Linked DNA regions of Styela clava. The protein of the gene in region 2 purifies or fractionates together with the protein of the main gene of each other region. This does not show direct contact. Links are inferred from orthologs where the notes say so. Each region holds a gene or a part of one and is shown on either strand. Other genes may lie near its edges.

What was found. The genes of interacting proteins can lie anywhere in the genome.
Region 1: the proteins of uncharacterized protein LOC120345352 (region 2) and unconventional myosin-VI-like purify together in Drosophila melanogaster (affinity purification with western blotting; 3 studies listed by BioGRID, with this or other methods). This does not show direct contact. The link is inferred for Styela clava from reciprocal best matches to the Drosophila melanogaster genes CLIP-190 and jar.

Annotation. Positions count from the first base shown.
Region 1 is NC_135259.1:12,111,710-12,120,161, reverse strand, and holds the start of unconventional myosin-VI-like, read left to right. Parts: upstream 1-5,344; 5' UTR 5,345-5,455; coding exon 5,456-5,572; intron 5,573-5,716; coding exon 5,717-5,860; intron 5,861-6,752; coding exon 6,753-6,882; intron 6,883-8,452. Other genes in the region: uncharacterized protein LOC144411613, read right to left, coding at 1,736-1,866, 1,955-2,142, 2,284-2,327. UniProt on the Drosophila melanogaster protein: Myosin is a protein that binds to actin and has ATPase activity that is activated by actin. Together CLIP-190 and jar may coordinate the interaction between the actin and microtubule cytoskeleton.
Region 2 is NC_135257.1:14,316,951-14,324,915, forward strand, and holds the start of uncharacterized protein LOC120345352, read right to left. Parts: upstream 3,289-7,965; 5' UTR 3,092-3,288; coding exon 3,028-3,091; intron 1,299-3,027; coding exon 1,230-1,298; intron 646-1,229; coding exon 497-645; intron 98-496; coding exon 7-97; intron 1-6. UniProt on the Drosophila melanogaster protein: Together CLIP-190 and jar may coordinate the interaction between the actin and microtubule cytoskeleton. May link endocytic vesicles to microtubules. May play a role in formation of furrows during cellularization.

The sequences.
Region 1 (8,452 bases), on a different chromosome or scaffold from region 2:
ACTATTATTTATAAATTCATTCACACATGAGCATATTTTGTTATTTATTATTACATAATGTGTCAATTGCTTTACTTTATCTTTCATTTTTTCAGATTCTTAGCTACTGGCGATAGCTATAGAACTATAGCTAACAGCTATCGTCTTGGCATATCAACTGTGAGCAACATTGTCTCAGAAACATGTTCTGCAATATGGGATGCATTGAGAGGGGATTTCCTCAAATGCCCATCAAGTTGTTCCGAATGGACTGAGGTTGCCGATGTTTTTCACAAAAAATGGCAATTTCCAAACTGTTTGGGCGCTATTGATGGAAAGCATGTTGTTGTTAAATGTCCTAGCAATGCTGGATCGTTGTATTACAATTACAAAAAAACGCATAGCATTGTGCTCCTGGCTATTGTTGATGCATGGTAAATATTAAACCTGATTTTGTATCACACTAATTTGTATTCATAGGTAAACAATTTTTGTAACTTACCACTTGTGGTTGCTTTCTATGAATGGCTAAATAAATTAGAAACCAATTATTTCCCAATATTATGTGGATTATACATGGGCATTTATTCCAAACAGTGCCATCAAGAATTCAATGAAATTCATATTTTTCAGTTATAAATTTCTTGCGGTGGACATTGGCGCCTATGGCAGAGCAAGCGATGGGGGAATATTTGCGAACTCATGTTTTGGCCGTCGCTGCAGAATGGAACCTTGAGTCTACCCTCACCAAGGTGGGTTATTTAAGCTAGTAGTCCACCTAGACTTGAAAATGACTGCTGATGTTTTTTTCTATAACGAAACAGGCTATGATTTTTCTTTACACCTAAGTAATAAAGGCTTATTATTTTAACAACTTAGTAATAACCCATAAAAATGAAGCATGTTTATGCAGAAAAACCTCCTACCTAAACCTCATTTTGTATTTCTGGCTAAATAGGGCAAATTTATTTTCAGGCCATTGCCAGTAACGGATGGACCTACTGTTCCGTTCGTATTCATTGGGGATGAAGCCTTTCCCTTGAAAGAAAATCTGATGAGACCATTTCCTGGCAATGGTCTCTCGCAGGAGAAAAGAATCTTTAATTATCGCCTATCGCGGGCAAGAAGAATGGTAGAGAGCACATTTGGCATCTTAGCTAATCAGTGGAGAGTCTATCACAGACCAATACCATTGAAGCCCAGCAATATCGACTCTGTCATAAAGGCAACATGCTGCCTACACAATTTTTTGAGAAGAGATGTTGCTGGGGCTGCACCAGTTGACGATAATATTACAGTGTCCACTCAACTGCTGCATGACATACCCGGGAGTGGTGGCCGTGCAACACAGCGCACAATCTGTTCGCAACACCTTTGCCAACTACTTTGCAGGGGAAGGTGCTGTGCCCTGGCAATGGCACCATTGCTGATCTTTTAACAATTTTATAGATGATTACTGAACTGCAGAGGTATTACAAATCTGATATGCTAGTATATTTGGTACTCCCTAAGGATGTGAACCAAGATGGACACCTGAACCTGGTATGTTTACCAGGTTAGGTTTAGGCCATAATTTATTCCAATTTTCCTTATTTTAGTTCGGGGACTAGACAAGCGACTCCCTTAGTATTTGTACCTGAAAATTTTGCCTAAACCTAACCTGGTAGACATACTAAGTTCGGTGTCTGCCATCTTCGTTCACATACTTCAGGATTACCATATAATCAATAATTGAAAACAATGTGTTCCAAGTAAATTATATTTCCCCAAATTCGATGTTGTACAGAAGCTCGTGAATTTTAATTTTCGCAAGTTGCAAACGTTGTACTGGTAGCCTGCGTAGAGTATCTACGAGGCTCAATGCAAATTTTTCAGCATCATCACTCTCTGTATGTAAATAAAGGTATGATTATTAGATTGGAAATCATTTGTGTGACACAAATATGCCTCATGGAAAGGTTTTAGAATTAAATACCTTTGTTGACAAGACTCATGATAGTTTCGTCAAGATCAGTCGCTTTTGTAAGTGCATCTTTATCAGATGCTGATGTAGTGCAACTGGTGTTCATATTAGGTAAGTTGTCAGCTTCACCACTCATTTGGACATTATTTCCATCTTGGAGCACCACAAGAGTGACATCCTCGTCAATATTTGAAGACGTTCTTTGGAAAAGAGTAAGTTACATGGTCATAGTTTGGGGTTCCGAGATCTGGAGTAGTCAGTCAGTCATTTGCGACCGTTGATACTGTGGGGTAGGGATTAGAAATATTATTGCGTTTGTTACGAAAGCAAATAATACTTACGTTCGAAAGTCGACGTGCTCGTCTAGGAACTTTAGCACCTCCATGCTCTATATCCCCCTGCTGCTGCCCCACTCCTCGTAGCCTCTGATTCCCTTCTTTTCTCTTTCCTATACCTATACTTTGTAGATCTCCATCTGGTCTTACAATCTGTCACTGAAAAGCAATTAACTTTGAAGTTTATTCTGTTATCTTGCATTTACTTAATTTCTTCCTAATTGGTTTTAGATGCAATATAGTAACAGATAACTATTCTAGGCTCATACTCATTTTCTTACCACTTCTTCCCAACGCCTCTGCGACCTCTTCCCACGCCTTTCCCTTTTTAATTGTATCCCTGTAGGCTGCTTCTTTTTCAGCGTAAAGACACTTCCTTTCTCTGACCTCAACTATGAGATGTTCTAAGTCCATACCTGCCATACCGATATCTAATCAATCTGTATAAAAATCATTGTACATTTTTCATTGTTTTGAAAATAATAACTATCATTGATATACAACGGCATTATACAATCGCCAAAACGTCTCAAATTTATATCCAAACAACAGCTGTCTTACCTACTCTGCTCTTAAACACAATGCCTATCAAGTTCCTGATCCAAAATACGGGCACCCGGAATATGACCTTTTGACATGCGTCAACGCAACGCAGTGTGAACAAGTTCAGCGCATTGCGTTGCATCTGCGTCAAAATATAACGCAACGCACTGCGTTGGTGTGAATGGGCCCTAACACGTAAACAAACATGATTGTAAACAAATGTCTAAAACTATATAAACACAAAGAATTCATTTCGGTCGCCACAACATTTAAATTCATTCGGTATATATAGTACTGTATATGTGTGAAAAAGGCCTAGCTTGAGTTTTATGTTTTGATTCCACTGCCTTTTCAGTCTTGTTTTTTAATGAGCCAATCTTGTTCGACTGGGAGCTAGACATCACTCAAAAACTTGTTATGATTAGATCAGATGGCTTTGATTAGGTCACCAGTATTTATAATGCTAATATAAAAATTATGCTGCACCATGTCGCCATTCCATGTAGCTAAAACTGGTTAGTACGTAAGTGAAGTTTCCCATAATATGTAGTATTCTTTACGTGTGCTCACGTTTCCATGGCAAATTTCACTACTGTATATGTTTCCATCAAAGGGTGACTGACCTAAATAAATTGCGGCTAAGCCGGGCTAAGGCATATAACACATTGAACATCCACCAATGTGTTGATGAATTCCCCGTCACCAACTATCAATGTACCGATATCTATCTCATGATTGCTACAATTCAGGAAGGTAAAGGAAGCCGTGTCGGTAACCGTCAAATGGTGGTATAAACCAATTTGCGGGTACTAGAGGAGTTTAGTAGGGACACTCCGAGGCATAAACCATTTCACGGTGACTAGGGGAGTTTAGGATCCCTCATTGACACCGAAAAAAGAATATGTAGCCAATTTATGGTCACATCGCATGGTCCGGGTCGACACCAAAGGCGCCGCACAAATATTGTTTTAGACGTCGGTACCAATCAAAGTGACTAAAACGTAAGCAATTTGGTGCCAATTACTTAATGCGAACTTTAATAAGGTAGTTCCCAAATAAACGCCGGTACGGTACTGTCGTTTCTGAGCGAAAACTTGAGGTGCGAAATATTACGCTATCAATATTAAACCGTGGTAGATTTCAAAAACAACAGTGAAATGAATAGACTAGATACGAGTCACATTGTATCTGGTATTGGTACCGGTATTGATGTATTGCAAAGTTCTGTAGTGGTAGTAAAACTAATTCTCTTTTGGCTGTTTGGTCAGTCAGTTGGTAGTCTGAAATTGCAGAATTGGGATTTAGTCATGAACTGAGAATATTTTTTTTCTTTATTCAGTTATTATATACACAAATTCAAAATGGAGAATTATGGAGAGCGGAAAAACCTTTAAAAAGTTTAAAACATGAGAGATATCATGTGCCCGCCCACCAGCACACACACAAAAATAAATTACAAAAAACACAAACCTAGTAAAAACGAGGCTTGGGCCAGAAATAATCATACAAAAGATACTCGAATGTATTGAACTTCCGGTCCAGCGGTTTGTTATACTTTTTGAACACCTGGCATCAACATGACCTTTTATGCAGTTTGAGGTAATGCTCAGCATTACTAGGTTTACATACAGACATACAGAAGTCTATAAATTTGAGTCTGGTCACTATTACACCAAAGTCAGAAAGTCACCCCAGCCTACATATGCTCAACCTGCGCTCAACAGTTCTGCAGTTTAACCAACTATTTTCCTATATTTTATTCGCTTTAAAACGATATTCCATAAAAACTTTGTTGCTCAAATAATATATAGACCAGGTGATACATCCCACACAAACAGACAAATGCAAAATCAGGTCTGCAGGTACACCGAGTATGGCCTAACAAAAACAAGTGTGGGCTGGCCTTCTACAGTTCTAGCAATGTTAGACGACAAAATTACAGTACTGCAGTAGTAGTCTGAGTTGAATCGATCACTTCAGCACTAGTTAAATCTAACAGCCGTTAGTTGATGTCAAGTTATTTTATTGAGTTGAGTGTAGTCACTTTGATAAAAAAGTAACCCAAGTACAATTAGAGTTATCTGTCAAGTCCATAACTCAAGCTTCATAGCTTCAAGACTCGGCCTCATAGTTTATAATTATCGAGGCGAGTGATTCACTTTTTATTCTCAGTATGGTATACATAGCCGAAGACGTTTGGTTCCACAGAAGTGTTTGTGGCCCACTAAGTTAAAAGAACGCTTAAGACTTTTTGCTGGAGAACCAGTTTGATTCACTCTTTCACTTATCAATATATTTTTCTATTCTTTTCTTTTGTATAATGTAATTCCAATTAGGATTCAATTAAATTTTTTGCCCGTGTTTTTTGTTTACAATGATGTCATTTTTAAGATCGTTTAACCAGCTAACTGCCCACACTCAATAAATTATTCAAAAAGATACATTTCTAATTGAAATCAGAGCTTGAATTCAGTTTTACGAGTAGTTTTACACTCAAATTGCATGAAAATTTTGTTATTTTTGTCAAGGAATTTAACCTAATTGTTAAGTTAATTACCATTTGTTCATGTAGCTTGTGTACCAATGATCTTTTGATAGCTTGTTACAACCTGAACTCAGGAATCAGGACGCAACGATGGATAGCGGGAAAGTTGTTTGGGCTCCGCACCCTGAACATGGATTCATGCTGGGAACCATCACTGATATTGGTCACAGCACAATTACAGTTCAACCATTTTCGAAAAATGAAAAGGTATTTTCATTTTTCCAGATTTTTGCGTTTTATTATTTATTTCATTGAGACATAGTAAAAGTGGATTTTTTAGTATTGGATCCAATAACTTGTCAGAAAACGAAGAATTTAACCTGAATTTTAATGATTGTCATTGTTTTTCAGCCCACGTCTGCCCCTTACAGCCAAGTGTTTCCATCTGAACCAGACAATAATAAAGAGATGGATGACAATTGTGCTCTCATGTACCTCAATGAAGCTACTCTTCTCCACAACCTGAGAGTGAGATACAAAAAGGATAAAATTTATGTAAGTCTTGATATAACTTATTTGGTAGGATTATAAATATTTAAAAGAAAATGATTTTCGTAATGTGATACGGAAACTAATCTAGATTTTTATTAACTTGAGTATAAACAAGGTTGGGGAATCTCGAGGTTGACATGTTTTTATTGGTTGATATTATTTTATTTTTCTTCAAAATTTCAAGTCAATACAAAATTTTTGTCAACCCGGGTCCTGAACCCCATATCCCTGACCATCGGAATAAAACTCTGCTCGGCGGTGTGGTTCATCATGCTAAGCATTGGGAATACGCTCGCCACCGGCGCACTGCACCTCTGATCATCCTGCGTGTGTTTGCAGGTTCGAATCCCTTGTGGGGATAGTTATGTGCAAGAGGATTGCAGGACCCCTCACTGCCTCCACCATCAAGGCCATGTTTCCAAATACCTGGCTAACTAAGACCAAACACGAATTTTAGGAATAGGATTTAGATATTTATCCCGGGGGATACAAAAGCCGATAAGACAGACGGCTTATCCATATGGCGAACCACGGCCTCTCGTCCGGTTACCATTCCAAGTCGGGTATGGGATTAGTTATATTGTTATTTTTCGGAAGCATGGACTTGGAGGTGGTGGAGGAAGCCGTAACCGACCAGCGGTTACATGAACATGAAGGCGAGGAGTCCAGCAATCCTCTCGCACATAACCATCCCTGCATGGCATTCGAACCTGCGAACCCACGCAGAGTAATTAAAGGTGCGGGGGCGAGCATATTCCTAACGCTTGGCCCGTTGAGCCAGACCGCCACGCCAGTTAGTATTCAGTCAGTTCAGTTAGTATTTCCTAATTGTTTGTTGGGGACTCTTGATTTTGCTTTGTCCAAACTTATATAAAATGTATCTTGTTTTGTTCAGACTTATGTAGCTAACATCTTGATTGCTGTGAATCCCTACAAAGAAATTAAGAAGATGTATGATGCTGATTCCATAAAAAATTACAGGGGAAAATCTCTGGGAGTGATGCCACCTCACTGTTATGCAATAGGCAAGTACAGTTATAAAGTCTTTTCATGAATACGTAGGATTTCTGCCACCACTTGTTTATCTTCCAGCATTATTAATGATATTTGGTTTGATTTATTTATGATATTTCAAAATACTTTGGCACGTTTTTCAACGTTTAAAAGCAAAGGGAGTTTAACACTGTTAATTGCGTTTTCATGGTTTTGAAGGTTTAATTTGAAACTGATTATTTTCACCATTCTGAATAAGAAATATTATTTGATTATCTGAATAGTTGCTGTCCGTATACATTGGACAAGCAGCCCCCTTTTTTGGAAGTATCAGAATCTTCACATCCCATTCGATATTGCTAACCCAATTTATTCGTTTTGGATGGTGTAGTATGTACGGGGTTTTATTTGACATGTGAATGTGAGTCCAGGGATGTCCAAAACGAATCGAATGTCCGATTGCATTCAAATTTCATTTTATTCAATATAAAAAAAATTTGAATTTGGGAATTTAGAATCTTTACTGTATATTTGAAAATTAGAGATAATGGACTGCCAAACAAGCAGATTAAAAAGATTCTATATTTATGTTGTTTTAAATATGATCGAATGAAGAAATACCGGTATTGATTTATGTAATTTTCCACGTAAACTCGCCCCCAAATTAGAATGTACTCGGTATTCCATAATCAAGACTATTTTCTCAGAATGTATTCTGAATTGTAAAATTTTCGGTTTTGGCCATCCCTGTATGACACCAATATAGTTAGGATAGTCATAACACAATAACCACAGACCATTACAATTGTATAACTGTTTCATAGAAAAATATAGCTGCTCGTATTTCTAAGATGTGACAGAAGTACAAGCAAATTATGATTTTCCATTATTCAACTTCCCAGAGGAGTTAACACCGCCCTTTTTTGAGCCAACACGTCTTTTATGTCAATTTTATTACTTAGCGTGTCGGTGAATTTTGAATTTGATAGCTAGTTTGATTGTTTAAACCGGGTTATAATAGTGTTTACTCTTGTTGTAACTGGTTATTACTTATTATTTTCACCAATTCATTGTTTGTTTTGCTTCGGTATTATACTGAGCTGGAATGTATTGAAAGGATTATATTGTAATTTTTTCATATTCATCATAGTTGAAGATATAATAAACTACCTGTCTATTGGCTATTGCGTTTCTTTGGTAATATGCAGCTTGATAATTTATTTGCCAAAAATTGATATGAAAAAATACTGGTATATCCGATACCTGGGGTTTACTATGGGTATAATTTATTATCTTTTTTTTGTGGTAATTGACATCTGAATTTTCGGAAGTTATTTGAGGTATTCATCAAATCAAATTTAAATTTGAAATTATCAAAAAAAAATTTAATAAAAAATTACTCATGAGAAATGTTTTCAACTGATGTTATAAAACTTTCACAACACTGCCTAATTTATGAATAATAGCAATCTTCAAAATGCTCCAACACCGCTACTGATCGACTAATTTTTTGTAATATAAATAAAATCAAATATGATGGGTGTGTCCAACTTTTTATAAAAAATCAGGAATGGAAAAATAATTTATTGTAAAGAATTTTAA
Region 2 (7,965 bases):
TCAAACCTGAGATACTTGATGATTTACTGGAAGATCCATTTGCATCAACTTTTGTCAATTTAGCTGGGCGAGCAAATATTCCATGCAGAGGTTGGCACTAAAAAAGTAATTTTTTTTTTGTCAGAACCTTTTCAATTGCTCCCAACCAATAACAAGATGAACAACAGCTCATAATATATACAATCCAGAGTCTACAGAACCTTTTTTTATATATTGCGGTAGTGAAAAAAAAATTTGATGAGAAAATCTTTTTTATTGCTCACAATCAGGCACAAGACAAGTGACAGATAATAAAGTATACAATCCTGAATCCACAATAACTTTTTTTTATTTATTGCAGTTATATCTAGTCAAGAGAATTCAGCTTAACAATGAAGGACTATCATTTCTATGAATGAAAATGTGTTTTTGTGTGATACATTTGACAATAATAACATGACTGCATAGTCAACACACTTCTGACATTAATAAGCACATGAAACAAGCACTTATTCACCTCAAAATATTTGACACCAGCTACAGTTCCATCATTTTTTCCTTCCTCTTTATCCAACACAACACCTGCCCAATCACCAGGAGCAAACTGTGTTGGGCCAAGAAATTTTATGACACCTGATTTGGTACCGCTTACCAAAACTCTTGTACCTGAATTTGAAAGAAAAATTTCAGAGATAAAAAGAATAATTTAACACAAATTTAAGTTATTAACATTTCAGTATAATTCTGCAAAGTCGCAGGACTCCCCCAAACTCTCTATATTTCTTGAATTCATTAAGATTGTATTCCATGACATGAGTATTATTTACATAATTTAATGCATCTTGACTTGACAACTTTTAGGAAAAAAAATGATTCCCCATACTGGAAATAAAATTATATGAAACTGTAAGATGCACACTAAAAAGGATTTTAAATCAACTTTAGTAAAAGCCAAATGGTGAAAAGTAAAATTCCACTGTTTAAAACATCCATAAACTAAAATCCTTGAGAAAATTTACAAAATTATATTATAAGCCAAAGTTGAAAAGTGGAAATTGTAAATGAGCATTGCCTGACTAATACAAACAGTTATTGTATGCATTTAAAAATAATTAGGCTACTATGAACTGCAGTTATTCGCTTTGACATTAGACTCAAGAGTGTGGTGGCCGTTGGCTAGGGATATAAGAATGGTTCTGGAAAAAGCTTTTCACAAAATAGTAAAATAACATCATAATCAATCATCATACCTACTACAAAACTACTTCCTACAGATCCTCCACCCGCTGATGAAGTTGCTTTAGGAGGCCTGATTCCGCCTGATATACACAGAAAAATATAAAATTGAAATTAAAACATTTTTTCATTAAATAGTCAGGTTATAGTTAAAGCCAAAAGCAGCTGCGGTAGACAGTCAATTCCTAGTGGGGCCTATATATGAATAAGGTATTTAAAATGTCAACATCTTGATAATAAATGTAATTTTTAGATATACACAAATTTCGGGGCTCCCGAAGTATGCGAACCAAGATGGCGGACATCGGAACGTAATATGTGTACTAGGTTAGGGGTTAGGCCATAATTTTAGGTATAAATACTACGGGAGGCTCTTGGCTAGTCTTCGAACTGATAATAGGACTAAATTAGGGAAAATTGGAAAAAAATTATCGCCTAACCCTAACCTGTTACCCATGTTACGATCCGATGTCCGCCATCTTGGTTCGCATACTTCGGGAGCACCCAAATTTCTTACTCAAATCAGACCAAGGCACAGTTCCCCGATTTCAATATTTCCCGACATTTGATTGAATACAAGAGTGCTACGCACAAATATATGGACACGTTAGACCAGAGCGAATCAGTCTTTACCGGTACCTTTGACGCTACCGGTACCCTCAAAAAAGTTCTAAATTTCCAGTAGCAAGAATTTTGCAGAATCAAAACGTACAGCCAGTCATGACACTGACTAAAATCCGTGTTCCCATGGATAAAAAATAATACAGCAAAATTTTAGACGAAATATCAAATTTCATAGAATGCACGCAAAATTTTGAAATAAATAAAAGTAATAGCCTTCTAGCGAAGAAATTAATCTTTAACCACTGAAAATTTCAAAGCAATTGGTCCAGTATTCGAAGAGAAAAGCGATTTTTTAAAAACATGTCAAAGAACAAGAACAACAACATAATATTGAAACCATCGTTATGGCCACTAAACGTGTCCAAAAACAAACACTCAATTTGTCGTGAAAGCAAGGGCGTCTGGCACAATGGCAGATGCATTGGGAAGTGCCATGCTTTTCTTGATAATAATTCGAATCAATCGTGACATGCGTCGACCCCCAAATGACTAAAATTCGATTCGTATGACATAGTCAGGTGGGGGTTAGAAACCACCTGTGCAAAAATGGTTATGCCACGCCAACTAGAAGTACCATACTTGACGGCATTTAGTGAACTAGCCCCCTTCTATATTGTTCCACACTTCATTTTACATAAAATGGGTTTCTCTGAAACGGGACAATGTCACCCCATTTGTATAGTGTGCTGTTCAGACAAACCCATTTTACAGATGATCAGACACCCCTCTATTGGGAGACGTCTGGACATTGTTGTCCCTCAATTTCAGTAATAATACAGTCTAATGAAGTTACGCAAAATACTACAAAAAAGCGCAATCTAGTAACGTCATCATTGAATTCCTTGGAATAAAATAATCCGATTTACCGGAAGGAAAAATTTTTTACCATAGCATTCAAGAGTTTATAGCAAAAAACGGCAATTTTGGTCATGTGAGGGCCACGATTAACTTGGGTTATTATTGAGACAAGCATGGTGTGATATGACACATCTGACGTGGTCCCAGACGCCCCTCGTTTGTGAGACACAGAGAGTGTTTGTTTTATAGAGCCAAATGGAGGGAAATTCTTGGAATTTGTTTAGTTTGCTGTGAGGGCGATATGAATGCAGGAATGTTCAAATTTTTTAAATTGGCATAAACTATTCAACCTGTAAATAAATAACAAATAAATCTACAAAAACAACATACTCGGCTTTGGAATTCCTTTCGTTATTTTACTGGGTTGCTTCAATCCAGATGGTTTCTCAGCCATCTCTGTCCTTCAGTTTTTCAATTTCGATTCATGCAGAAGTACGTTCCCTTCAATTAATTGTGAAAAATAACGAAATAATCCACTCAATAAATTTTCATTCGATTATTTAGACAACAGATTTCATTTGTGCACCAGAACTAAAGAACTTGTAAACTAAATGAGGAAAACTTGGTAGTCCAGCAACAGTGACGACAGACTTGTTGTGACATTGCTTTCAAGAATAGTACATAATTAGTGCACCTTATCGCGGATAAATAATTATCATACAGCTATCCGGCAGTTGGCGCTATCGGACAATAAATTTATAAATAATTCGATGAAAATATGCTGAGCATAAAATATAATAAGAATTAAAACAGAGGTATATTAATTTATACTAATCTATTTTGGTCTTGGCTGAATATATATATTATTATATGTTACCCTCCTTAATATACCGTATTTGCTCGTTTAATAGCCCGGGCGCTTATTTTTTTAAACATACTCACTAACCCGGCATTCAAACCGGCCCTTATTCAAGCAGGGGCGCTTGTTATTTTTAAAGTAAAATTACACACAAAAATACCGGTAGATAAGATCGATCGTTACAATAATTAATACCGTATATTGTCATTTCCAGTTCTCAAGTATGATTTAAACGAGAATAATGAAAATTTTGACTTTTTCTACGCACCGCAGGTACAAATCCGCAAAAAAAAAAAAACTTTTACACCGGGCGGGTATTCAAGCACCGGCCCTTATATATTTTTATTTCCTGTTCACACGGGCGGCTATTCAAACGGGCCCTTAATTAATCAAGACCGGGCGTTAAAACGAGCATTCACGGTATAAATACAGTGGGAACTCTACCTAGGAAAGGCTTTGGATACGAAAAATCCAACTTACGAAAATTATCATCCTAAAAATATTGCTTAGAGCCTTATAGACGTAAAATTTTCTACATACAAAAGGCCGAAATCCGAAAATAAAAAAAACGCGTGTAGTGATATTTGCTTGTTTTAGATCAATTTAATGCAGGCATGTCCAATTCGTATTTTATATTCGAATATCGCGACTTCCGAATATTGTTTTTTGTGTTTATAAGAATAACGAATATGGCCCAAATTTTCCAGGGCCACCCGTCAACGTTTTGATATAACATTTTACAAATATTTCATATTTTATCGTAATCTTATCAAACGCAGATTTTTCCATTTCTTGCATTTTAGAGCGTATAAAAAAGCACTTTAATATATTTATTCTCAATCGCAGATTTCATCGTTGTCCCGGCGTCGGGGAAACAAAAAATAAAATCATAACAGCCGACATGAAATAGTTGAATCAGCGCCGACTCAAACAATCTCAATTCTCCATTATTGGCGGATGAGAATCGGGTTCACTCATTTGATTATGACGATGATCACGTAAAAACATTTGTGTTTTTCTGAATCAACGAGTGGTTTCGTCACCACAATAAAAATTAAAGCCCGCGGTAGCTGCCCTGAAGACCGCACAGCAACTAGTTGTCATCTTATTGCCACGTTTGTTTCCGCAGGTACGTACGTATTACAATGTATCTCAATCAGTTTCAGTTGCTAGCGAAATTCACTGATAAGACGATTATACACGTAACAGTTGAAACAAAAGAAAATAAATGGTGAAATAATTAAAAGTTGAAAAGATGAAAAAAATAAAAAGAAACGAAAAACCAAAACAAAAGATTCGAATTTTGAATTTCTTGTGTGTGTGCTCATTTTCGAACATTGTCAACTTTTACTGCCTTTTCTCACCTCGTCCAACCGCCGTCCTCCTACTGGCCACGGCTTCCGCTTAGCCTAGCCCAGTCGGCCAACGCCAAAGGTAAACAAACATACCGTCCGTAGTTTTTATTCGGTATTTCTCTGCCCTCTCTTCTTTTCCTATGTACCTTTTTCATTCATTAAGCAGTAAACTTATTCTGACGTGTATTTGTTACGGCTTTTAATCATTATTATAATTCATACGAATATCATGTCCGAGTCCGAGTACGAGTTTTGTGACAGCTTGGAATGGATTAGGGAATTTACAGATAAAATGCGTCCCCACTTTCTACTTATGGAGAGGCTTCCGAAACAAATTAATTGTGTAGGTAGAGTTTCCACTGTAAAAGAAAGTAAAAAAACAAAGTGGATAACGGTTGGACAAAATTTTGGAATTTACATTTTCAAAAAATCCAAATTCCAAACAAAGTTAAATTAGCGATGCTGCATCAGGTGCAGGAAATTTTGCAACATGTTTCTTCTGAAATTCATGTAAATGAATGCTCTTTGTTCTTAGATTATTTCAGCTTTTTTTTCATCGACACTATCTCATCTTTTTCGGCTATTTTCACAAACAAATTTTGTGAATCACCATTTTCATTTTTGCCCCATCAGATTGGATTTAAATTTTGCAAGCGAGCAAGTAACTGAATTATATCAATTAGCGTCCATCGTGAAGCATTCATTAGTAGATAATTTAGTGTTCATATTCTTCTGTATACATTTTCTAATAGTCTTTTAATGAATATTTGCTCAAAGCAAGATCATGTGCACTTCGTCGGTCACCGATCTGTCAAGAACATAACAGCATGATCTTAGCATTATAACAGCATTTTGGCGGTAAATGACTGGTTAGCGTAAAAGTATGTGTAACAAAGCATTCAAAATTAAACAAGAAAAAACTCATTCAGAGAATAGTTTCTATACCAAAGAATACACAATTTTGGAAACCTCGACTGAAACCGGGATATCACATTATTTGCACAAACATTCAACGATTTTAACGGCAGGAACATGGTCAATACTTGGTCTCGTCAATGGGTGGTGTGACGTTGGTAATTATCTGCCAATTAAGTAAGATTTAGTCTCACTTATTTTCGATGACAATAGTGGCGCGGTGAAAGCGCGTAAGTGTGGTAATAGATCAAGCCAGGGTTCGAATCCCACATGGTTAGAACGAGTGGTATAGTGAGACATTTTGTGTAGAGATTGTGAGTTGGGAGTAGACATGAGTGCGAGAGAAAAGGGCCCGTCAGATCCGAAGGTGGTGATGGTGCGCCATAAGGGGACTGGCCAAAGTGAACTAAAGGCAGAAAAAGAAAAAGGCAGTGGAGAGGAAAATAGAAACAGGGAACAAACAGGGACAAAGCAACGAACCGCAAAAGAGAGTGTGAAAATGGAGGTGAAGAACAAGAGTCCGCAAAAAATACATCCACAAAGCAGATACGTCAACGAGGGCAATTCGGGGCATGTTAAAAAGCTAACCAGCCTCCAAAAATAGCATAAAAATAGGTTAAAAGCGGCAATCATAAATGAAGAAGGAAGAAAATAAACATACGTCGACGAGTACATTTCACTCCGTACAAAAACTTCGAAGACTTCGATAATGACTCCTTACTTTGCGTATGTTATTAAAGTGTTTATTGTATGTGTCTCTTATTTAGATTTTCAGCTTATATTTGTTTCCCCTTTTCAAACTTTTTAAACGCAGAAGATTCCGGGTTTGGTCAGGTGTGTAAACATTATTGTATTGTTTCATCCTAAACATTGTGACGACACTTCTGCCGTTGTATGCATACTATATATAAAAAGAACCGCGTTTTATGAAATCAATTGATAGAGATAACTCAAATCATGGATTGGCTTTTCAAATAGTGAATTTTATTTATTGCGTTATATTTAGTTCAGTTCGTAGAATTATCCCTAATACCTCATTATGTGACGCGGGTACTGACACAATCTTTCAATATATTTTCCTGAGTCGCCACTGTACATGTGTCATTATTTGCATACATATGTACTAATTTAGTCACGATGATTTTGTACGGTTCGCTCTGAAACCCAACCCTTGTGAAATAAGTTCAATATACCCTAACATGATCCTTGTTATTTAATTTACATGACGGCATTATTTCGACAATTTTTTTTTTAAAATACAGTGCAATAGACTGGGTGCCTTTTGTTTATGTTATTATGATAATTGCATGTTCAAAGTTCATATTTACGACAAGTGGACGGAGCCAACAAGCCGTAACATAGTCGTTCAAAATGGTATTTTCTCCCAACCGTCGCCAAAACTCCCTTCTAAGGCGTTCGCTGAGTAAGCCAACAAACATGTTATCCTGAATATTTCGATGCAAATATTCGAAGACAATTCAAAGTACACAACTCTTTTACGTCGTGTGGGCGCATTGACTCCTTTGACGTCATGGATATTTAATATACGATTGCTACCGGAATACTTCCAAATAAGTTACGACTAAATAAATTTTTTCCAGGAACGGTCAACCAATAGCATTGTACAATCTGCATTTCAGGCAAATATATCATGCTATGTATATTTAATCAGAATTGAAATGAATAGACAATATATGCGAACGAATTCCCAGGTGGATAAAAGATAATGAAACTTCAATAATATGGAGACACATGTTCTCGATGTTTGTCAGACAAAAAGAATAGTAATCATATCTGTGCAAGTGTGGAAAAAACGATGGCTTAACTGTAGAATTCCAAACAACACTACGAATATGCGAATATACTGCAACTGCACTGTTGTGTTTACGTATGTCATGAAACAAAGGAGTTCTAAATACGCCAATTACACGCCATTGGGGTAGCCGGTAACGGCTTCATTATCAAAACAGACAGCAAATAGAGGTCTTGAATTAGAAAAAGCAAAATTAATCACCTAAAATGAGACCAGCTCTCACAGAACTAGTTGAAGATATGTTGAAAATAAACCGCTGCCAATTCACATTGTTTTATTAGAAGTTGAACTAACATGTTTTTTTCTCAGATCTTTTGTGTTAATTCGTCGAAGTTTGAATTCAGCTGAGATAGCATCGTTTTTTTTACCAAGAATGTAATAAATAT